Linked DNA regions of Struthio camelus. The protein of the gene in region 2 purifies or fractionates together with the protein of the main gene of each other region. This does not show direct contact. Links are inferred from orthologs where the notes say so. Each region holds a gene or a part of one and is shown on either strand. Other genes may lie near its edges. The genes, in order: LTO1 and ABCE1.

What was found.
Region 1: the proteins of ABCE1 (region 2) and LTO1 purify together in Homo sapiens (affinity purification with mass spectrometry; 4 studies listed by BioGRID and IntAct, with this or other methods). This does not show direct contact. The link is inferred for Struthio camelus from reciprocal best matches to the Homo sapiens genes ABCE1 and LTO1.

Annotation. Positions count from the first base shown.
Region 1 is NC_090946.1:32,661,913-32,673,964, reverse strand, and holds the start of LTO1 (protein LTO1 homolog), read left to right. Parts: upstream 1-6,783; 5' UTR 6,784-6,853; coding exon 6,854-6,978; intron 6,979-7,562; coding exon 7,563-7,668; intron 7,669-10,501; coding exon 10,502-10,572; intron 10,573-12,052. UniProt on the Homo sapiens protein: The complex LTO1:YAE1 functions as a target specific adapter that probably recruits apo-ABCE1 to the cytosolic iron-sulfur protein assembly (CIA) complex machinery. May be required for biogenesis of the large ribosomal subunit and initiation of translation.
Region 2 is NC_090945.1:34,594,529-34,607,059, forward strand, and holds the start of ABCE1 (ATP-binding cassette sub-family E member 1), read left to right. Parts: upstream 1-7,315; 5' UTR 7,316-7,689; exon of another isoform or gene 7,690-7,879; intron 7,880-12,531. Other genes in the region: ANAPC10 (anaphase-promoting complex subunit 10), read right to left, coding at 691-805. UniProt on the Homo sapiens protein: Nucleoside-triphosphatase (NTPase) involved in ribosome recycling by mediating ribosome disassembly. Able to hydrolyze ATP, GTP, UTP and CTP. Splits ribosomes into free 60S subunits and tRNA- and mRNA-bound 40S subunits.

The DNA.
Region 1 (12,052 bases), on a different chromosome or scaffold from region 2:
TGTTCACCTGTTATTTTTGCTCATAGGAGCAAATGTAGCAAATGTTTTTCATTCACAGGGAAGTTAACGATCTTGTAGGTTCATAGGCCTTAAAGACAAACATTTGGAACAACACACGATTAAGGGAGACCTAGCAAATGTGGTTATGTGAACTAAAGTAAACGCTGTCCCTTGAAAAGCTGCTGACAACATTCTGGGAAAACTTTCTATTGAAAGCATACCACTGAAAAACAATTCTGCTTGTATATTGTGTTTCTTCTTCCCTTAAGACATAAGGGAAGAGGGGGAAATATTTCTTCCTTCCCTTATTGCTAAAGGGTAATTTGGAAAACTGGATCTTTGATTTCTTTTATAGGCTAACTTATGTTTACTGTAGGAGCTGCATCATCCAATATAGACTCCTCATTAACATTAGTGAGAATTCTATATATGGGTAAAAGTGTATACAGAACCCAATATTTATGTTCGTCAGGTAGGGAATGAGCAGTACCAACCAATTAGTTTTCAGTAACAGAAGGTCTGTTGTATATAACTATATATGTCTTTAGCAAATGGAGAGAAAGACTGAAAATAGATGATGTATAGGTCAAATCGATTGCAAAATAAGTTTTCATGTTTTACCTTCCAACATCAGCAGTTCCTTTAAGGCCTTCCAGGCTTGATTCTGCATCAGCTGAAATCAATGGAGAGACAGTTTAGTTACTTGAATACTGCAGAAGTGGGTCAGTCATACCATTCACCTTTCAGGGAAAGACTGTGGGTACCTTATGGCCAAGAGGTGCATGTCTGATACCTTCAGTTCAGTTCTCCTGTTGCAACAATTTGACAAAGGAATAACAAACCTGAAACTCCTCCCAAAAAGGAATGTGAGAAAAGGGTTCAGGGATTTTACTCCTTTCCAAAGGTTCATTTATAATAGAGATTTCTATACCAAAAAAACTCTACTGGAAATACTAGCCTTCTTCTTCTGACCTAGCACTTCATTGCCAATGCAATATTTATAATTAATTTATTGAATGCATACATCTGTTTATTTTGTTACTATTATTTATGCTCAAAATTCTATTTATATACTCTTGAAGGTGGATTTTTTTAGTTGTAACAAATTTTGTGAAGTTTTGTAATCATGAAACAGTAGCTTTTTAAATTTCTGTATATTACCAGTAGTGTAACACGTACATTTGCAATAAAAAAAAAATCATCTTCAACACAAAAACCTGGCTGACTCTCTTTTGTAACTCCTTTAGCCTAAAGACTTCAAGGAGCTTCATAAAACTACTGAATTTGGCCCCACAGCACCCTTGTGAAGATGGTGTTGCTGAAGAGGTATGACACACAGGGACACAGAGAGACCGAGCGATTTACCCAGAGCTGGACATTGAGTGCCAATGCTGGAATCAGACTCCATCTGTTCCCAATTACTGATGAACTCTGTGGTAAATAGCACGTATAAGAAAGGTATTTTTACTATGCAAGGGAGAGAGTTCACTAAATTTTGATAATTTAGTGGGTATAAGAGAAGGGCACTTTCTCTTTTTCACTTCTGACCTAATCTTAAGTTCCTATTCTCTGGTACAATGTATAAGGGAAGCTCAGCTCTAAGATCTGTGGGCAGTCGTGATCATGGATGTACACCTATTTTATAAACTATGACTTTTACATTCCATTTATGTCATTAAACCCAGTTTGCTCCGCTTGCTGACATCAGCGTGCTGGATGCTGACGTGAGCGTGAGGGACCTACGGTGTTTGCCCCCAGCTGCTCTACGAGAGATGGAAAAAATCTGCTACAAATGTGATTGCTGCCATCCTTTTCCAGTGGGGGATTCTGCTGCATGGGTGCAAAGCAGAGGCTTGGGTGAGTACAGCTGCTGATGGTTGCAGACAGGTCCAATTTCCAATATAGGCAAAGCTGCATCCTGTACGTCAGTAAGCGCACACCATGGAGCACGCTCCTGTATGACCAACAGGAACTGAACTGTCAGCAGTGATTTTCAGCCAGACTCAGCCCACACCACAAACTCTACCTGTGGATTTTTACACTAGTACATAAATCGTCCACTGGCAAAAAGCAAAAATACTGGGGGTGGAATGCTGCTGCCTCTTAAAAATGGCAGTATACTCTGCAATGCAAGTGGGGAGAAAACAGGTTGTTCTTCCTGAAAAAGATGTTGTTTTCTAACAGGAAATCAAAGACCAAATACTTCAGTTTGGAAACGCTGCATGGGTGGCTCACAGAAACTGTAGATTTATTTCTAGGCTGAAAACATCTCCCATGATGGGTCACGTTCTCCTTTGTGCTGAGCCACTACCACACATCCGGAGGTTTCCTAGTCCTCATATATCGGGAAATGTAGTCCTGATTTTCAAATTGTTTTATCCCAACAGTTTTCAGATTTGGGGCATTCAGCTTTTCGTCAGACACTATATTTTCTTTGAACCCTGGATAATTTTCAAGACCCCTTCATATAACTCAAGAACTAGAAAACAAAATAAAATGAATATGAATATTTTTAAAATTCATCAAAAATTCACTTTTCTGCCAAAAGACAGTTTTGATGGGAAACAGTAAATAAGAACAGAATGCATAGGATACACTGTTTAATTTAAGTGCTGAAAGAATTTTAGGTAGCTTTAATGTCTCTATTTGTGAATATGTGTGTAGAGCACAAAAATGAGCACCCCTACATTCGTGAACAGTATCTTGGGATTTTTAGTGACCCCATTTGCTGACACCTTTGAATTTGCATCTTCCACCAGCAGCACAATGTTTCTTACTGTAACAGCATGGTTAGAGAGGTTGGTTCAATATTTATTCAGACAGAGGGAAGAATGCCAGGAGCTAAATTACCCACACCGCTTCCTGGAGCACTTTAGTTTTCCTTGGAGGTTTCCCATCCAAGCACTGACCAGGCCCAGCCGTTTTGCTTATGAAATCTGACAAGATCACAGCTTGAGGTGGACTGATTACTGGAAAATGCTTTCCCTACCATTAGACACCTGACTAGGTCAGGAACTTGCAAAACCTGTAAACATCCTTGCCGTAGGTTCTGTGGGAATATAAACACCCCCACCATTGCGAATTGCACTATATAAGGCTGGGCTGATCATGGTTTGTCAAAGACAGTAAGTCGATTGCAGTGCTTTCATTTGTAGTAGTACATTTTACAGCCCTAAATTCTTTTTAACATGTTAGGGTGTCGAATGTCTCCTTGTGAAGTCTCAACTGGAAGCTATGATGTGTAAATAAGAGTTGTTAGAGTAGTGAGAAGGCTGCAGAAAAGGAGATACTGGGCATCTCCATTTCCACTTTGGGGAAGTGTAAAAAGCTGTAAATCCTTTATGCAAGGCTCATAATAGCAACGTTAAGTGCTGAAGCTATGTATGTGAACAATCTGGATGGTGCTTCCTATGCTGCCAGTGTGCTTTGTATAGGAACAGAAAATGACATGATAAACTAAACAAATGCATTCTCTTTCATCTAAAACATACAGAAGCCAATCCTCCATTCAGGCAGCTTCCAATGGGATGGAAGTAGAGATGCATATCCCTTGGAAGCGAATGGGAGAGCAAGGAAAGATCTCAGCAGGACTCTGCATTAGGGGTGAATTTATGACATACACTAAGTTTATCGGGAACCCTGTTGGATTGGACTCATTGTTGAAGGTGCAGAAGAATGTCCCCAAAATGGAACTAGCTTTACTGTCACAACTTGCCAGAAAAAAATTATCCTATTTTCAGCATATTCGATCAATCCTACTGCCCACTGAGATCAAAGAACTTTTTGTCTCTAACTTCAAAAACAAGATTTAAATCGTAGTTACTAGCTTAGAGGAAATCTTCAAAGATACCTAACATTTCCACTAACATCAGATGGCTGGTGAACAATATGTGTTTGTGACTGAGAGGCTGTACAGTGGATAGGTGTTCACACCTGGGAAAAACTTTGGTGATTTAGTGTGAGATTCAGGGAAATCTAAACATGAAATTAACAGACAACACGAGCTGGCTGACTGACTACAGTCACTCTAGATAAATCAGCATAGCCTGAAAGACATCAGTATAACTGAATATTGAAATATATGCTTATAAGTAAGTATAAATGTTTACCCTTATCCAGTGTTCATCTGTAATAATAAATAAATGTAGTAATACAGCTGTCTAGAATAGCACACTAGAGTTTGGTGCTGTTATATAAATACATCAAACATATACTATTTGAAAAGCAAAAATGTCCCTGGTCAAAGCAAAACTGGCCTGTACTAGATTCTTGAATTTCTTCTGTTGGAAATTAGTCTTACTTATAGTTCTTTACAAAATGATTTTGTGCTTACAAAACGACAGCTGGGCTGACTGGTAAAGAAACAAAAATTATATCATCCAGAAATAAGCTCAAGAAACGAGACAAAAATTTCATAGGCATTTAAAGTCTTCCTTAGTACTACACATCCTAACAGTTTCATGGGAAAGCAACCAAGATTTATCCTTTCAGTTTTATCACTATTTTTTTCCATTCCACTTCTAGCTCCCACTCCCTCTGTGGTATTGAACTGTTTTCTTAATGCCAAAATGCCAAACCAAATCCCCAGTAATATCAACATCACACTTTTTTTTGGAGTTTAATAGAACTTGGATCAGGGGTTCAACTGCGTCCAAGGCCTGATGCAGAAATTACTGAGTGAGCTACACATCCTGGGTTGTGTGTAGACCAGACTAGATAGTCAGGACAGGTTCCTTCTGTGCCTAAAATGCGTGAATCTAAACATCGTACGCCCTGGCTGTAAAACAGGAAAAATATATTGGCTTTACAAGAATGAGGTTGATAGCTGTTAAAAAGATGTAGTGGTAAATTGCTGGACAAAACCAAAGACAAATATTGGATTAAACAAGCCTTTTGAACAGGCTCTGGAAGCTCTGAGGCTTAAGTATGGGCAGAGGAAGTGATTTCCAGGCAATACCCTTTCTCCGCCTACTGCTGGCAAGGCGGCTCTGAGGACAGTTAGCAGCTACGCTGAGTATATATCAACAGGCTGTAAGAGCGGTGAGCTCTCAGATGGGGCATGGGGCAGTTCTTCTGCTTTATTGTTTAGGCTACACATTGCTTTTATGAAAGATTTCTGCTAGCATAATAGGGAATAACTGACATATTGGGTAGCAAAACTGAGGCAAGTCATTACTTGAAAAAGAAAAGGTTGGGCATTTTGTTTGATTATTTCTTTTCCAGGAGAAAGAAATATTCCGAAAACCTGAAAGCAATCCAGTTCAATATTTATCTAGCTCAGGTTCCAGGTTGGAAATATTTCTTCCTTTCTTCTCTTTCTTATAGTCATTTTTCACTCATAAAAACATTTATGTTGCTATACTGGTTGTGCTGCCATGAACGATTTAGAATCAGAGCTGATAGCTTTATCAGTCAATAAATAAAAAAAAATTGAGCTTTACTTGTAGAAGTATTCAAGGAGTACCACCACACAGGACTCAAAGAAAGACATTTGTATTTGTTGGGCTGGAGAACAGAAAGAGGTGATGCCAGAGAAACATGAAGAAAAAAGTGGTTCTACAGAAGATCAGAAAGATTTTACTGGACGCCAGGACAGACAGACAGACAACTAATACTTTTGACGGGTATGTGCAAGTTAATCAGCTCATGGAAGAAGCTGGCTACAAAACAGAGGTCTGAAAGCCTTAGAGAAAGCGTGACCCAGTGAAGTGAACTGAAAGGATAAGAAAGAAACACTGCAGTCATATGGTATAAACAGTTTCCCTCTCTTACTCATCGTGGCCTAACAAACAAACATGACAAATGAAAAAAATCCACCGAATTTTAATTTTTAGGAAACACATTACAAGCGTTCAAATGGATCACTTAAAAAAAAGCAAAGTAATTTTGGGAAATCAAGTCTACAACTGAATCCAGAGCACTGACTTGTACTTGGGGGCATCCAGCTGAAAATGACCTTATTTCAGCACACCTGCACAGACCTCATTGCAGGGATTTGAGACTGCTTTATATAAGCAAGTCCTTTGGTACAGCTGTCGTTTTGTAAGTTCTCATCTAGAAACCAGAACCAAGGTCCACCTTGGTGCGAGATGGTGTTAGCTTCCCTTTGAACATTTTATAGAACTTGGATAACACAGTATGCCTCTCAGCCTTCATAATCCACCTCCTCAGCCAGGAAGGCAGTATTCAAGATACCGACCTGTTTCTGTTTTCGTTTGGATGAAACATTTCCAAGCGGCTTTCGGCAACTTTTCGCTACATTTGGAGGATATCAGAGCTTTGGCCAAAAACCTTAGTTAAGCACCACGTCTTAAATTACTTGAGACCGAGGGCGGCTAGTTTTCTAGTAACAAACGCATCTTCCACCCACCTAGCACAGCAGAGAGGCGCTTTATCCCGCGGCGGCCGCAGCGCTTTGGCGCCCCCTGGCGCGGCGCGGCCTGCCTCGCGGCCGGCCGTTGGGGCGCGCGCCCCGCCCCGCGGCCGTTAGGGGCCGTTAGGGGCGGCCGCTAGGGGCCGTTAGGGGCCACCCGCGAGAACGGGGCCGGCCAACGGCGCCGGCACCGCGAGGCGCCGCCGCGGCCACTCGCACGGGAAGGGACAGGCGGGCGCCGCCGCCGCGCCAGGGGCGGCGGGGCGATACAGTCCCGGCACAGAGCAGCCGGCGGCACGGGGAGGGGGGCGGGGCGAGGGGGCGGGGAGGCCCCGCCCATCGCGCACGCGGCACCCCATTGGGCCACGCCCCCTCGCGGCTTGAGGGCTGGCCGCAGTCGGGTGGGGGGGAGGAGCTTTGCGCGCCTGCGCACTGGAGCCTCCCGTCGGCGGCCCCTGCGGCTTGCCGTCCTTTCCCGGCATGCTGAGCGGCGGCGGTCGAGCGCGTCGAGCGCGGAGCAGAGTCTCGGGCTGTCACGGCGGGATGGCGGCGGCCGTTGCGCCGGGCGCGGACATGTTTGACGACATCGTGATGGCCGAGGAGAGGTGGGGCCGGCGGAGTGGCCTCGGCCTGGCGGCGGAGCTCGGGCCGGGGTGGGGGCGGGCGCCTCTCGCGCCGCAGCTGACGGTCGGCCGGGCAGGGGGGGCGGAAGGCGCTGAGGGGGAGCGGTGCGAGCCGGCGGCGGGCAGCGAGCCAGGGAAAGGGCGAGGGCGGAGAGCAGCGGGGCAAGCCGTCTTCGTCCTTCTTTCTCCCCGAAGGGCCGAGTCCCTCGATGTCAGCTCTTCCCCTGCGTGCGCTGCAGCACTTCTGTCAGCGCTCGCATGTTTAAAATCCCGCGTTTTAAAACTTGACTCGGACTCGAGAGTTTATTAGCTGTGCAAAAAATAATAGCTAGTTGGTAAAAGGATTAAGTTGGATTGCGAAGTGCCTTGTTTGTGTTAAAATGTTATAAACTCGTTTGAAAACACCTAGATGTTCATAAATGCATGTTATTTGAAATTAATGCTGTGGGGTACTTCTAAATAGGAAACTTGTATTACTGAAATGATAAAGAATGTTTTTTGACCGTGTGAGTTGCTTGTGTTTGATATGAATACAAGCATTAAAAACTGTACTTCTCTTTTTGTAGGTTTCATGGTGAGGGGTATCAAGAGGGATACGCTGAAGGCAGCCATGTTGGAGTTATTGAGGGAAGGAGGTATGGATCACTCCACGGTGCCAAGATTGGGTCTGAGGTAAATGGGAAAATTTTAGAATCACAAGAAACTCACTGTAGCACAGAAACTGTTGAGCAAAGCCTGGTATGGTAGGTGGTAGCCTGAGGCCCAAGGGCTCCATTCTAGGATCATTTAAAGCAATTTGTTTTAGATTGTGCTGAACCAGTTGATAGCATCACATAGGGAAAAAAAAAAAACATTGAAAGTATTTAGCATTTAGGAGATGAAAATTGAATACATTCCATAAACTTCATTGACGTTATGCACTTTAAATTGTATAATGAGGAATTTTTTTTGAATGAGACAGTCCATTTACACTCTCTAGTCATAGGTACATAGGCAGAATGTCTTTTTTTAAATTATATTGCTTTGTATGTGTCCAAGAGGGCCCATAAAACTAGTTTAAAGGTGATGTTTTGATTTGAACGTTTTTAACGATGGTTTCACATTTCCTGAGTTTATTGGCTGTATGGAATTCTGAATTTTTTTTTTCTTTTGAAAGGGAGGAAGAAAGGAGAAAAATATGAACAAAGTCGAAGAAGCTTGCTCAGAACAAACTGACAATGCATGTAGTGTTTATTTACTTTTTATAACACAAAACAGGCTAGAGGCCCTCCTGGGTCATCTGTGGCTCAGTGTAAGACAAGTAGAAGATTCTCAGTTAGTCAAGACTTGACTCATCAAGGCTTCAGGGAGCTCAGATATGAGAGAACCGACAAAAGCATGAAATGTTGGTTCTCCACCCAGATTGCCTCATAAAGGGGGAAATTATGGGTGTCTCAGCTGCACTCTTATTTCTAATACTGGTAGTGTTTGTTGGCTGAGGTACAATTATTTTTCAGTAGGTAGAGTCAGCTCCATTTATTGCTAGATTCACATGATGCCATGCCTGACTCAGTAAACCTTCCTGAAAATGAGTCAAGGTGTCTCAGTGCCACTCTGTCATCTTGTCCGTCCAGCTCAAGTCTATAATGTTGCATGTTCAGTGCTGCATAATGTGGTTAAAGTATTTTTGGACCTGAGCTGGTCTTTTTCAAGTTCAGCTTTGATGTGGAAGCTGTACTACAGGATTCTTAGCAGGGCTTATTTCCAGTACGGCACCACAAATCTCAATCTGTTTGGTCTGTTTGAAGCTCCTTTGGTAATTTTACAAGCGCTCTTTCAGGTTTAGGAAGTTAATTAACTGGAAAAAGAACACTGGCAATGGTGTTGGTGCATTATGAGGTGAAAATGGTAAACTGTAAAAAATTCAGAAAGATGTCTATTATAAAATTTTGTTTTACGTTTGGGCATGATACGGAAATGTATAGTGATGTACTGTTTTGCTACCTACACTACAACTGTGGCGTTCCAAGAAGATACTGTTAGACAGTAGCCCCAAAACTGGATGCCTAAGATAAAAGTGTGATAGAGGAGTGTTCTAACCTATTAATATAGGGAAGTTCTGGAGGATGGTAAGGTTGTAGGCAGTCATGTTAAATGAGTGAGAGATTGACCTGGGTAATCTTAGATTTCTCAGCCTGTTATGTGTCTTGAGCAAAATCACAGATCTGTTACTGGCCTTGCCAGAGAGAGAATTAAAGGAAAATAGCGTAATTAAAATGTATTACAATGTATCCGTGTAAGATCACATCCCTCAGAGGGGCTTAGAAAGGGTATGGCTTTGGGCTCAAGCAAGAGATTGGCACTGCCCCCCCTCTGGTGGAGCTGTGCTAATTATGCACAGAAGCCTGCTGCTGAGTGTCCAGGGGCTAGGTGTGTTTTACGACAGTAGTTTGGGTTTACAGCTGTAGTACAACTTTGAAACAAATCTGTCAGTTGTCTCCATTTACCTTGGATCTCTAAGCAGTTTTGGTGCATTAAAATTAAATTGCTATTAGAAGAAAATAAACTGGAAGCTTCACTTGAAATATGCTCCAGCACTTAATGGGATATTAATCCTAAACTTATGTTTGGGCCTCATGAAGGACCTCCGCTGTGTATTTTAACAAACATAGGCATCCCAAACGCTCCTGCTGTACTCTGAAGTTGGTTTGTCAGCTGCAGGAACTTCCAAGTCCTACAGGGTTTTGTTAAGTTTAAAGGTCAGATGTATGTACATGCACGCATACAGACCAGTGTGGGATTAGGCAGCAGTTTTGGACTTAAGCTCCTCAAACTCAGCTAAATTTTGCTTTAGGTGTCTGCATCGTTTCTCTACCAACATTAAGTCACTTTTGAAAGGGACTCCAGCTATCTCGTCCAGCAGGTGCTTTGAAAAACTTTATCTACGTTCCTATTTCATTTAGTATCCAAAGTCATAGTGAGAAGTTCTTCTGGCAGCAGGGCTAGCTTCATCAGCTCCTTGTGCTTCTTTCTGACTCCATGCTACTGTCTTCAGTTAGACTAGTAAAATTATTTCAATCATACTCTCAAAAAAGATAATTTCCTGCTTCAGTTAACTTGGCTGCTCCCTCATTTGAGCTGGTACAGGTGTTTGTGGGGGCTATTTGCTGGCACTGCTGCAAAAACCAATCTTATCCAAGCATCCTAAATAGGCAGGTTGTTTTCTAGTTATATCCCCACTGCTACAGTTTACAGTCATAAATTTGGGAGTTCAAAGCATATAAAATAGGCTAGTGTTTTTCAGAATTGCTGTTTGTGCTGTGTTTTAAACTGTAGTACGCAACTTCAAGGACTCAACTGTTACCCTGCTGTAATTTACTGAACTTTCCAACACAGAAACTTATTTGTGTATCCAGTGATTTGTTTCCTGAAGAGTGAGCTAGAATGCAATGCTTTTTTTGTTTGTTTGACTTTGTGCGTGTGTTTGTGTGTGTATATCCCCCATGGCATTCTTATAAATTCACAGGTTGGCTGCTACCTGGGGTTTGCACTTACATGGCGGTGTCTGCTCCACAAATGCACAGATGAAAAGAACAGGTAGGAATAAAAATAATTGTTATTCCTTTAATATTGATTCAAATTAAGGTGTCTGGTTTTGGCCCCCCCAGTATCAATAAACAGAAGGAGGGTGAGCAGAGGGGCCACTGGGGTGTTATCCTGTGCTGGGGCATATGATACCGAAGAGAGTGTAAGGGAACAGAGTTTCTTCATCCTGGAGAAGAGAAGACAAAGGAGGTATCTAATTGTACTACGTAAGGGGAAGTTCTAGATAAGATGGAGACAGAGTGTTTGCAGAGGTGCACAGTGAAAGAACAAAAGGCAGTGTTTACAAGTTGCAACAGGTGAAATTCTGATAGGAGGTAAGAAGGAAGTTCTTCCCAGTGTGGGTGGTTAAGCCCTGGGACAGATTGCCCAGAGAGGTTATAGGAACTCCATCCTTCTAGACTTTCAAAATATGATTGGAGATGGCCGGGAGCAACCTGATCTGATCTAGCTTTGAAGTTAGCCCTGCTTTGGGCAGGAGGCAGACTAGATAACCTGTAGACATCCTTTTCAACCTATGTTTTTCTATGACTTCTGTGGCTTTTTTTCTCCAAATGGAGAATAATGCATGTTTATAAAGTAGTAATAACACTCAGCACTTCTACGTCACTGCAGTCCAGTTTGCTAACCATTAACAGAGCACTTTTTCATTATGTAAAAGCTGTGATGCTGACATATGTAGCAAGTAAGGGTGACTTGTTAACCGCTACACAATATTCTTGACTGGAAACTACAATAGATCTTTGGTGAGGAAGTGCCGAGGTTGTACTTGTCTGGTTGCTAACAGTTGATGGTAGAGTTGGACCGCGCCTTCAGAAGGTACTGCGTGCAGAATCCAGCTTATAGGCTACATGCATCTCCAGCCTATAGCTAACTGTAGCTGGCTTGCACTGTGCTTTCACTGAGTGATTTGTATACTTTTGTGCAAAATTTGTTACGATGGGGTGTCTTGTCCTATCCGTACGTGTGCGTTTGCTATTGTTGATTCTATAGCTTCCATAAGACTGCTGGCAAAGAGTAGATACTGTTCCTCTAAAAAGAAGAAAGATATAGTCTTGCATTATCTTGGGCCTTATTCTAGTAGCTTACAAATCTGGTGAAAGTGCTGAAGTGGTTTGTTAGATTCTGTGCCTTACAGAGGAAAGTACTATATGCTTCATGGCATTCGGAAACTCTAAACGTATTTAGCTGGACAAGAAACCGGCTCCAGGTTCATTTTCTGAAGATTAAATGATTTATTTCCTAAGGATACTTTAATTTCAGTTTGGTAAAACGTTAGCATTCTTAACAGTCAGTTTCTGAAAATTACTAAATACATGGTTTAATCCCTATCTAGTATTTTTATTTCAGTTAATTCTTTTTTAATTTTATATGACTGGACAGATACAGTGTTTTCCTAACCTGTTAGCAAATTGTGTTGTCTTTGAGATGCCTTAATAAAACACAAGACCACATTATAGGAGGATGCTGGAGA
Region 2 (12,531 bases):
ATGTTCAGCCTGAGCAGAATATCACAATTACTGTTCCTAGACTGCAGCAAGATATTAGATCGATTCCTGCCAGATGTTTCTGAAATCACCTCCAATGAATAGAACACATTTTCATGTATTTTGAGCAGGTGCAAATGACTATTAACTGCACCCCTGTACTGTTAACAATGGCTTAATTTTATTTGCAGGAATTTAGGAAGCCACAGTATAACGACTAAGTCTGCACCTAAAGTTTGGACAGAGTATTTACGTTGCCTAGCTGCATGAATTGTTTTTCCTCACTTAAAATTAAAGTTATCTGGGCAAAACGTCCAAGTATAGAAACAATTATACAGTGCTAGTAGTGTTTCTGCTCAGGTGGTTTAGTTTGTTCACTGTGCGGGTAAAAACAATTTAGTTTAACAGAACAGAACTTACGATTTTAACATGAAATATTTCTTCACTGTTGGATTTTCTAATACAATTACACTTTCAAATTGCATCAAATACAGACTAGGCCAAAATTATTTCTAGTAGCCCCGAATACAGTTTATACCAAGGTAGTTTTAATGCTACACTTTGCCTCATGGAGTAATAATTCCAAAGTCAAAGAACAAACTATGTCTTCCCATCAAAAGGTAAAACTTTGTATTTGATTTTCTAAGAAGAAAAATTTACATTCCACTGTTGATTTCTTGTGTGCAATTTTACCTGGCTTACAGGATGAAAGTGACCAAACTGCTTGTGAGCCTATTTCTCTAACAGTACCAGTCCTCTCTAACTGCTTTGGATCAGCACCAGGTGGTGTCTTGTTTGGGGTAGTCATTTCTGAGAAAAGAGAACAAGCAAGTTAGTTGATACATTTTCAGCTTGACGGGAGAACAGGGGAGTTGTGTTATTTCATATAAAAGCTTTAATTCTCTGGCTTCACACTTCTCTCCCTCTCTATACGACTTATTTCCGTGGTTCCACATATATGCAAAAGTCTGTCTCCCTAAGAATTTGATGCACTCTTGGAACATTCATAACACACATTTCACTTTTATCATTCTCATTCATACTGAGAATTACTTAGGGTTTCAGGTTTTCTTAGGTTTCTCTCAAAAATCAAAAAAGCCCCTGTTGATTTAAAGGCCAGCGCTACATATTTGTTTTTTCCCTGCACTTGTGAGGTTCCTTTTAATTTGCAAGTTCAGAAGCCTATACAGAAGCTAGAGCAAGCCAGTCATCCTGAAGATATTTCTCCTTAATTGCAGGAAAGCAAAGTTTAAACAAATCATGTGGTCCCTAATTTGGTAGGGAGAGGTTATTGATGCATTTATCCACAGTCCATGTCTTTAACTTCACAACTTCATCTGGAATAATTAACCTGTAATACACATTGCCCAAGTAATCACACTGAGTCTTTGTGCCTAAACTACCACCACACATGTTGTTTTTCATTTACTATGGAGCACCTTCTACCTAGAAAATAGTTTAAAAAATAAACAAACTGGTTTTCCCCCTCAAAGGATTAGAAAGGAACAAACTCTATGCAAGGAACTACATTAAAAGCCTAAAATATAAATCACTCAAGAATCAGGAATTTTGAGTTGACTTCTAATCCTTTGCTTACATGCATGACAATACATTACACCCTGCTAAATTGCAGAAAGAGGTCTTCCAGTACTCCTGCTAGATAGAAAGTGAGGTACAAAACTAGTCTGGTATCCATCTAGGCCTCAGCCACTACAGAAATGATACAGGTCAGAGAACAAACTAAGGATTCTCCACAGAAGAATAGCTCTGCAGCTAAAACTTTTGGGTAGGACACAAGAAATCTGAATTCTGTAGTTTACATCTTTGTCTGCACGAAATATCTTCTATCTGGTTCTCATTTAAAAAACACACATTTTTCTCGTTTTGTAACACAAAGTTAAGATAGACTTCCGGTTCTGTTGTGACTCACTCACATTCAAGGTTGCAGTCATGACTGCCATTAAAAAGTCCAAAGAAATAATTACCTATGTTGTAAAAAATAAGGACCGACAACAGCAAATATCACAAAAGATCGTTGTTTGAGCAAGGCCTTCTGTGGCCCCAGAAAAATGGGCAAAACTTCACACAGCTACTAAAGATCTCACGTATATACTCATTTAATTCATACACATATATATACACACACACAAATCTCTAATTGGATGTGATTAAGAACTTCATGTAATATGACATTTTGAAGTCTTTTCATTGTGTTTTCCTGCAAAAGTGTTTGAAATCAAACAGCATTAAAAAGCCCTAACAATTAATTTCACCTTTCCTGTACTAGACACTACCACATTAATCTTCAGTAGCCATCATATTTAAATACTGTATTATTCGTTTTTAAAGCTCTAACAGGTATTTAGAATAGCCCCTTTTAAATGTAGCTGTTCTCTGTTGTATTGGCTACACTATAAACATGTAAATCCATAGAATAGACTATATAATAAAAGTGTTTAACTTACTCTAGTTGCAAATTAGTACAAGTTTAAATCTGTTGACAGCAGTTCCAATAAAATACCATGCTCATCAATTATTCTGATCTTCTGAGAATTTAAACCTCTCTCAGAAAAAGTTACAAAATGCTTTAGTTCAGTCTTTTGTTATCCTAGTAACCAAAATATGCTTATTAAGCATTGAGGAAAGACTATTTTCCCAAACTCATGAATTTTAAAGCTTAAATCAACTAACTATCCAGAGTCCGCATTGATTATTTTGTGCTTTTGTGATAAAGAACCAGAGAGGCTGAGCTGCACTTATTTTAATTCTCATTTTCATACAGAAACCAACATTCCTGTTCTTCCCATTTCTAAAAATATACATAGAAAATTTAATCTTGCAGATTAAAGCTAAATTACCAGTTCAACACAAACTCTTTAATATTACCACCAGCAAGTCTTCCTATTCCTTTATTTCTCTTGAATCAGAAATATTAAAAAAACTCCCAAGTTTCAGTCACATCTGTGATCCTACAAATAGCTATTGTCAGATTAACAGAAAAACAACCTTAAGACTAAGAACTATGCAAAAGTATTAAAATAGGGTAAGTCATAGAAACCACATTATTCACTTGGGCTACCTCAGAAAGCTGATTACTCATACTTAAAAAAATATATATATACACACTGAAATTTTAAAGCATTCAGAACCTCTGAAAACCGTGACGCTGAGATATCTTATAAGCTTCAAGACACAGAGAAGTCCAAAACAACTTAACACCGCTAAGATTTATACTTTATGTATTGCACTGGTCCACAGACTTTTGAGGCATACATTTTGCAGGCCTGAAATCTACAATGAGAAGTATGACCTAAGCTTCTCATTTTCACAGCCTGAGCTTGCTTCCTTCCAACAGGTAAAGCTACTAAACAGCCAAATTTCAACTCCAAACCACTGCTGGCAAATAAGCCTGCCATAGATCACGCACTAGAAATATGAAAGACTGAAAATCATTAGTGTTTGAAGTAACAGTTTGAACTAATCAGGTCAGTTTTTCCATGACTGAACTTCTGGTTAACCAGCTTAGCAAGCAACAATACATTCTGGATAGCTTTGACTCCTAATACACCAGGAACTCATAAAGCAAGTGAGCCAATGAAAGTACAGGGAAAATAGAACAGCAGCAGGCCCACATACTCCAGTAACACATTTTGGCTTTTTACTAGCAGAGGTACAAGCTCTTCATTTTGGACAAGATGCTAATACTTCGCAATAATAATAAAATCACATTTGCATCTGACTTAAGTCACCAAACAAAAAAAAACATTTTCTTAGACTGAAAATATAATAGAATGAGAATCAGCTCCAGGCTGTTAAAAAAGTAATCCGTCTAGAAGCCTTTCTCCTTGTCTTTGAGATATGCTAGAAAATGCAGAGACACTGCCTCTATAGAAACACTGGCTGGGAACATCTCCCATTTTCCAAACCAGTTACTCCTAAAGACTACTATTAGGCTTGTTGTTTCCTTAATGAAAATGTGAATATTTGATTGTGTTGTTAAAACATTAAATGTCACACTTCCATTGTGCCACCTTCTAATGTGCCACACACCCATCTTTTGATTAAGGTAAGAGGAGGGTTGGGCTTCCTCCCTCCCCCAACCCTTGATCTCTCTATCCCTCAGCATCTTCCTGTTTCCTTCCCAAAAAGGGGATATGTTTGCTCTTTTCTGGAGGACATCTCTGTGAAATAGTATTCATGAAAGAAGTTTTATCAAAAGTAAGGTTTATAAAGAGAGTGAAATGGAATTTACTTGGTTCAACACAGCTACTTTCCACAATCCAAGCTAAAGTCATTCTCAGTACACCAAGAGAAGATACACTTAAAAGGTGTATATCTCAAAGCAAACCCCTTGCTGAGCACATACACGCTCTTCTGCGTCACACTGAAGAGATGAGCAGGACACATGTTGGTTCTTTCCTGCTAAAGCTCCATGCAAATCCAAGTGCAAGGAAACTTTTGCAGATTTAACAACCTTGGCGAATAGTCAGCTTCAGTGTTTTGTCATCCTAATATCCAACCCAAGTATTATCCTCTAAAAACAAACATTTCCTCTTGTGTTCTATAGGTAAGTCAAAGATTAGTTGTTCACTAACCCTTATGTAACTTAGATATCTAAGGACCACCACTAGATTTGCTCTCAGTTACTTCTCTAGATTAAGAGTACCTATTCCTTTCAGGTCTCCCTCACAAGCAGTCTTATGAACCTAGTATTTTTGCAGTCTAGAGAGCTACACACTACAATTAAAAACAACAAAATTTACCTTCCCAGTCTTTATATATAATCACATGTGCTAACAAATGCCAGAGAAACATTTATCTATATGAAACAGCATCAAATTACTAATATTTATGCACTCTAATTCTCAGGTGCTTTTTGGGGACCGTTTGCTCTTCAGTAATACCCCTTCCACTAATTTTACCTTTGATTTTTCCTGCTTGTGTTCAAGTCTCAATTCTTGTCTCTATTGAACTTAATCTCACTGACTTCAGACCAGTTCTCCAACTTTTTAAGATCATTTTGAATTTTGACCCAGTCCTGCACAGTGTTTGCAATCCTTTGCATTTTAGCAACATTCACATTTCATGTTTACTATTGAAGAAAACTGAATAAATACACATTCAAAACAAATCTCTGGGAGGATGCCTCATGACATCCCTGCTTAACAGGGAATTATTTACAAGTCAGCTTTAGAGAAGCAATTTTTCAAGCAGCTGTACACATCTCAAAAAAAATAACCGTGGACCACATTTCAGTAACTTGTTAAAAACAACGCCAACCAAGACAATGACAGAGACCCTGTGAAAGTCAAGACACACCACGTGTATTGCTTCTTCATTAACTACATTGGCTACTGTCAAAAAATAAATAAGTTTCATCCAGATTGTTCTTAATAAAACAAAGCTAGCCAGGTTTCTGTTTGCTTTTTGTTTTCTCAATTGTCTCCTACTTGCTAAAAAAAAAATTCTACTCCCCTACCTCCTCCAGGATCTTCCAGAGGATCAAAGTTAGGCTCACTGATCCATGATTTCTCATATTTTCTGTTCTTGGTCTTTAAAAAAAGAAAAGGCCACGTTTGAACTTCTATAGGTTTCAGAGGCTTACTTGACTTGCCCAAATTAAGATAATCTCCAACAATTCAGAAAAATACTTCAGCTAATTCCCTACGTTTTCTATGGCGAGTTTTTTCAGCTCTTGCCAACTTTAATTTCTCTCTTATCCCGCTAGCTCCTTTCTGATTTTTACCTGCACTCCCATTGTCTCATTACATAGAGTTTTAGCAAGTATCTGACAACTTTTTCATCAAGACTGAACAAAGAAGGCATGGACTCCTTCTGCCTTTTTGCAATATCCATGGTTCATATAGCAGTTTCCCTTATCCTTCCTAACAGGAAGGAATTTCACACCGTTGCTTTCCTGACTTTCATACTTGTACTACTTAATGGTACTCATTTTATCCCATATGTACTTTTCTTCCCCCCTCACTGCTCTCACTTTCTTTGTGTGGTCCCTTGTTGATTTTAAGGCCTGTAAAGCTCCAAAGATACATCCAGAAAGTAGCATCTTACCACATTTCCTATTTTTCCACTTAAATGAAAGAAAAACACATCAAGTGTCCAGTAGCAAGCTATTTCAATAACAGTCACCTCCGCTGCACATTTCATTCCTCAGATACATTTATTAGTACTTACTATTTTTATTCTGACTTCACTATATTGCTTTGAGCCTAAGAGCATGAAAACGGCTCAAATCTCTTGTGCAGTTGGTGTCACGGCCATATATGTTCTACCAAAATTAATTCAAACAATTACATATCAGAACATGAGAACATTAACAATTTTTTTAAATATATCCCTAATCAATCTTATTAGACGTATAAAAGACATTTTTACACAAGTTCAGATTTCAGAAAAGATTCTGGGAAGGATACAAGCACTTCTTTAGGTATGGTTAAAAGCAATCTTTAAAAAAAATAAAACAACTAGAGGACAAAACCATCTTTGACAAATGAAGTTGCTTTCACTCAGGCCTCTTTGCTAGCCCTCTAACGTCTACATAGGACTTTTATTTTGATTTACGGTTTTAACGATAATTAATTGTTTTTAGTCGCTCCACTATGATTGTGTTCCCTAGCCTCTCGAAATATTTATAACATTGGAAATTAAGCAGCAGCACCGACTCAAGACATCAGTTGTGCTTAACGGCCAAATCATATTTCCTCTCTCTCAATTTGGGGGGAGGGGGTGTCTTAGTTTAAATGCATAAGCAAACACACATGCACTAAACGAGAAATACAAAGTACCTATTTATAAGTGAACCCCTATATCTAGCCGCTAAACGCTCTAAAGCTCAAGCAAGCACACCGCATAAGAAAGCAGACGTTTTGCCCGGGCACCGCTACAGCTTCAGCGGCTGCCGTGACACCAGGAGACGAGACACGGGAGAGGAGGGGAGCCGCACCCCCTCCCCCCAGCCGAGGCTGGCTCAAGGCACCGACGAGACCAGGAGATACGCGGCGAAATCTCCCCCGCGCCACCGGGGCGTAGCAGAGCGGCATCCCCACCTGATTCTCGGTGACTGCTGCGGCGGCGGCGTCGGGGATAGCAGCGAAAGGACAAGACGGCCCAGCGCCACACGGGCCCCTTCAGCGGCGGCAAAGGGCAGGCAGAGGCCGCCACCTGCGTGAGGACCCGCAGCTCACGCAGTCCCTTTTAAAACCGCCAGCGGCTCCCGGGCTCGCGCTGACCGTTCAACCGCCGCCTGACCGCGCACGCGCAGACCACTGCGCGAGCTCGGTTTAAAAGAGAAAGGCCGGGGGGGGGGAGGGGGGCGGAGCGCGCTCGCAGGTGCCCGCGTGCACCCGGTGGGGGGTGGCGCGCGCGCGCCACAAGCGCCACTCAGCGTGGCGCAGGGGAAGGGGCGCAAGCAGCAGCGGCCCGGTCCCCCCTCACGGAGGACGGCAGCGAGCCGCAGCACTCGAGGAAGCCGGGCGGGGAGCCGCGCCGGCCGACACCCCCCACCCTCCACACCCGGCCTGTAACGTGGCACCGCCCCTTCTGAGGCGGTGTCACTCGGAGATGACGTCAGCCCCCCGCCGCCGCCGCGTCCCTGCCGCGCTTCCGACGCCAGCCCCTCCCTTCCCTGCAGCCGGAGGCGCCGCTCTCTCTTTCAACGTGCTCCGTTTCTCTATGGTGAGCCTCCCGCCCTTCTCTTTCCTCTCTATGGTGCGTGGCCCAGGCCCCTCCCTGCGGGGCAGGCGGCCATCTTGGCCGGGTGGCGGCGGGAGCACGTTGCGCGCCGGCCCGCGGACGACGCGGCTCCGTTCCCGGCTGGAGCCCGGCCGGGGAGGAGCGGCGGCGGCGGCGCCCCCTTCCCCTCCCGGTAAGCGGCCCCCGGAGGGAGCGGCGACGGCCTTGCGCGGGGGAGGGGGGGAGGAGGCGAAGGGGCCGGGGGGGCAGAGGGGGCCCCGGCCTGCGGCTTCCCGTGGCGCCGGCGGGGCGGGCCCGGCCCGGAGCGGGGAGCGGGGCCGACGCTGCTCCTCCCGAGCCCCCAGTAGCGGCCAAAGCGGGGCTTTTCTGCCTAGCCCTACGCTGCCTGTGCGGCCTGGTGCCTTCCCCGGGGCGCAGAAGCATCTGTCTCTGTGGGGTGGGAGGTCTTGCTCTCTGCAGCTGGAATTGCCCCTACGTGGAGTTGGCGTTTTCTGGCGAAATACGTAGAGTCGGTCGGTTTTTCTTAGCAGCCTTTTTTTGTTGGCTCTCTTTTGCTATGCAGCAGCCCAGTGAAAACAAAAGGGGGGGGGGAAATCATTGTGTGCTTCTGAGAGTAGCCGTAGGGATTGCTTGCGTGTAGAGACCCCTATGCAGGCTTAGTGCCTGGAAAGGGAAAAAGCAGTGTTTTTTTTTTTTCCTGAAAGTGAGGAATTTCACTGCTGGAGGAAAAAGTCATATTTTGCCATATTTCCAGAAAGTTAAAATCCGTATATGTGGTTGTGTAGTGAAGAGATTAAGACGTCTTGCAGGTTTCACATGGTAATAGGTAGGGCTGTTTTTTCCAAGATGAGTGAAAATACAGGAAGGGATTTTCAGTAGGACCTTGGTAGCGCTTCCTCTCTGGAATGCACTTAGCTGCTTCACCTGCAGGTTTCTGTGACAGTTTTCAGGTTCAAGATTCTCTTCTACCGTTTCCTAAACTGTTGTCCTAAGAAAGTGATCCTTAAAATACTCGTTGAATTTTCATGTGGTAGATGATGTTGCTAACTTATGGGCTTATTCTTACGCGTTTCTCTTCATGTTAAAAGGAAATACTAAGGATTGAGTGATAATTAATTAATACTCTTCAACACCAGCTAAGCATACCCACTTATTATGCCACATCAGCGTATTTGGGCATATGGTTTTCCGGTTAACATTGTTTTTATATTCATGTTGTGCCTTGTAAGCAATATGTTGAGGTAAATGCAGTAATGATTAAGAGATTTGGGGCTGATTTAAAACTTCTCTTTGCACAACGTTATTTTAGTTTCCCAAAGAAACATGTCAGAGCTAGTAGACTAGTTCTTAATTCTCGGTAGATCCTTGTTTGCACTTTTAACATTTACTGTTATTTCTGCTCTGGGCTTTATAAATGTACTCCCTTATATGATAGCAAGAAAACAAATTTTCATGTCTTTCACTTAAATTTTCATTGGGTATCTAATCTGTAAGTTTCTTGCTCTAGTTGTGACGTAACTGGATATAGTGCTTTAAAGATGGATTGAGAGATGATTCTTGAGGCTAATGATTTTCAGAGAAAAGTGTAAATGCGTGCTATTCATCCTCCCTCTTTTTACACTACTTATCATTTAGATCTGATGAGATGCAATTAATTAAAATTTTCGCTGCTTTTTCTGCAAAGTAACTAAAGTATCGCTCGGTTCTGAACACACGTCTCTCCTTCGTAGCTTTTCCTTCATAATTGAAATGTCTTCTCTCTGGTTATGCTTCAGTCTTCATTGTCACTGTTAATGTTTGCATGTTTAATTCTGATTAATAATTCAGAGCTATTACAAGTTGTCCTCTGTCATAACTGACTTGATTCAGTAAATTGCATTGTGCTTTTCTGGGAAAGAAAAAATAAATATGAGTATTTCCTAATGCAAGGACTTTAAATTTCTCCCATGGATTATAGATAACTGCTGCCTTTTGTGATAGCCTGCGTGGGTGCTTCCCCCCCCCCCCCCCCCGCCCCGTGTGTCTGAGATAGCAGTTGCATCTGAGAGCATAAGAACATTGACTTACAACGCTTGTGATAACGTTTTCTGTGTTCCTTATTTTTAAACCTGCTTTATTTGTATTAAGTCATAATCAGACTTAATGGGCAGCTTTTGGCTTCAGTAAATGATATTGTCAAAGATTTAAAACTTTATTTTGCTAACATTTGTTATTCTTCCTCACATTCTTTTACCTGTGTCACCGCTCCATTGTTCTGGAAAGATTTCCAGTTGTGTTTCTATCAGAATTCGCTAATTCAAATTAATGTATTACTCTGTAATTAGTAACAAATTAATATATTTGCACTTTGTTTTCAGTTCTGTTCTTCTTGGTTTGGAAAACAGAAATATAGAATTGAATTTAAACACTTCTGAATACCAGTTTCTCCTGCCCTTAAACTGCTGACTCTACCTAACAATTACTGGTATGCTGTATTGTAGCATATACATATCGTATGTGTTGCTGACCTATATTCCGTGCTTTGAGAGTTCCACTGTCTGCCCTGCGAAATCGAACAGTCCTTTTTGATGTGCTAAATGCCACTGAAATAATTGTATATAAATATGTAACTTGAGCTCAGTCTGTTTTTAGACGGTGTTTTTTTAATTGGCTTGAAGCTATAGAAATTTAAATGAGTTTTGGATTTTGTTGTTTTGTTTGGGGGGAGAGGGAGCAATACAAAGCTGCATTTCTTGTGGACAGTTATTATCCTAGACATTGGGACTTCTATCACTTCTGCAACAGCATTATTTCCAGAGAAGTCACAAAATATTGTCTTCTGAGAACAACTTAAGACCCCTCATAGAGTTTTTGATAAACTGGCAATTCCGTTGAGTAGATGGGAACAGGGAGGCATGAGTGACTGTCACCATACCGGTTCAATACTTCCATTTCCCTCTTTTCTTCTGTTTTCCCCTCTCTATAAAGTACTTGGCGTACTTAACACCTGTGACTTGTAGTCCCTTCAGAACTCTCTGCCACAGATAAGCATTTTCCCTGTATAGGTAAGTTAAGTAAAGTTTTCCATAAGCAAAGTAAAAAGTTCCTGAGCTGCTGTATTACTTACTAACAAAGGTCTGATTCAGCAAGGGGTAATAGTGTAAACTTTAGGGGGGGGGGGGTTTCCTGCCAAGGCTGGTTAAAAAGTTCACTGAGGTAGGTGGCAAAAACTAATTGATTTAAGCCATACTTGACTTTGTCTTTTAGAGCAACCCAGCCACCCCATTCTCCTCTTTCAGTGCTTTAAGATAAGATGCCAGACTGGAAGGTGAGATGGATGAGGACTGAGTTTATGGCCTGATCTGCTATCTGTACTGCTTAGGCACTAATCTCTAGTGCAGGTTTGGGATGTTGTGTGGAGGAGGTAAGCTTCTGAAATTCGGCAAGTCTGTCTACTAGTGCTTGCTTTTGTGGCTCTTAGAAACAGCCTTTGTGCTAATGAAGAGCTAAGATGACTAGCAGGTAAAGTCCTGCCCAGGAGATAGACCAGTATGATCTGGCTGCTCAGTGTCCTCAGCCACAAGCTTTGCTGGAGCTAGGGCTGACCCAGGTTAGGCACCTTGCCTTGGAAAACCAAAGAGGAAGTGGGTGATCCACCTTCTAGTACCCTGTGCAATACAAACTAGGGGACTCTTTTCATACCAGTGAAATATGTTCCCTAATCGTTCTTTGTCTCAGTTGAAACGCTGACAAAACCCAGTGTTCTAGTCTTCTAGAAGATCACCCTGACTCAGACCTCCTTATAGGTCTCCCTCCTTAAGACCTCCTTCCTCCTTAAGAGGAAGACTTTCCATTTCTTACTTTTTTTTCCTGTTGAAAATGTATTGAAGTGAGAATCGTAAGCCTATTATCCCATGTCCTTAATGAATGTACCAGCCGCTGCGCTGTGGAGTCAGTCGGTTTTTCTCTCCTTGGCCTGTTCTATGGATGCAGTCACAAGTGCAGCCCTACTTTATCAGTCTATTCTGATCATAGAGAATTTAAAAAATATATATTTTTGAAGGTATTTTTAAAATAATCCTATATTTAAAAACTTCGGTTCTTGTTATTAAGACTATTTTAATATGACGTAAGCTGCTAGGAGAAGAATGTAAAAAACAAAAAATGTTCAAATATTGGAAGTAGAGACTATCGTAGTAAGAGTTGACGGCATGACTAATAATTGCATTCATTTATACCTGATAAGGGATCTTTAGCCATTAAATTAAAAATATGTTTGAAATGGAAAAAGGAGGTGAGGCTGCCACTTTCTAGAAGGATGCACTTAAAATATTGGTAAGTATGGAAATAATGGATCTCAAGGCTCAATAACATCTTAATTTCTGATCTTTGCTCCCTATTAGATAGATGCCGGTCTCTTTTTTAATTTCATAATACGCTGGCGTCTGCAGGATTCCTTCCAACTGTAGTTCACAAGTAGGTTTAGGGATGGATAGTGTTTAATGAAATAAGCGTGCACCATATCTCTTCTTTCATACATTCTTGCTTCTTTCAGGAGACTGAAAGTCATAACCTTTCTTCATATAATAGGCATACATAGTAAATGATCTCTAAAGCACTGCAGGATACTTTAGTTTGTTGGGGCAAAGATGGGCTGTACGCCCACTAGAAAAGACTTTAGTAAGAACAGTTGGAATCCTTCTCTGGGAAGAAAGACCATGCACAGATTGTGTGGAAACCTGGAGTATTTCAAGACTCCTTTACCAGTCGTGTCTTCGAACTACTGATACATATCGCATTGAACTGAAATGATTTTGAATTGGCGTCATCTGTATGACTGCCATC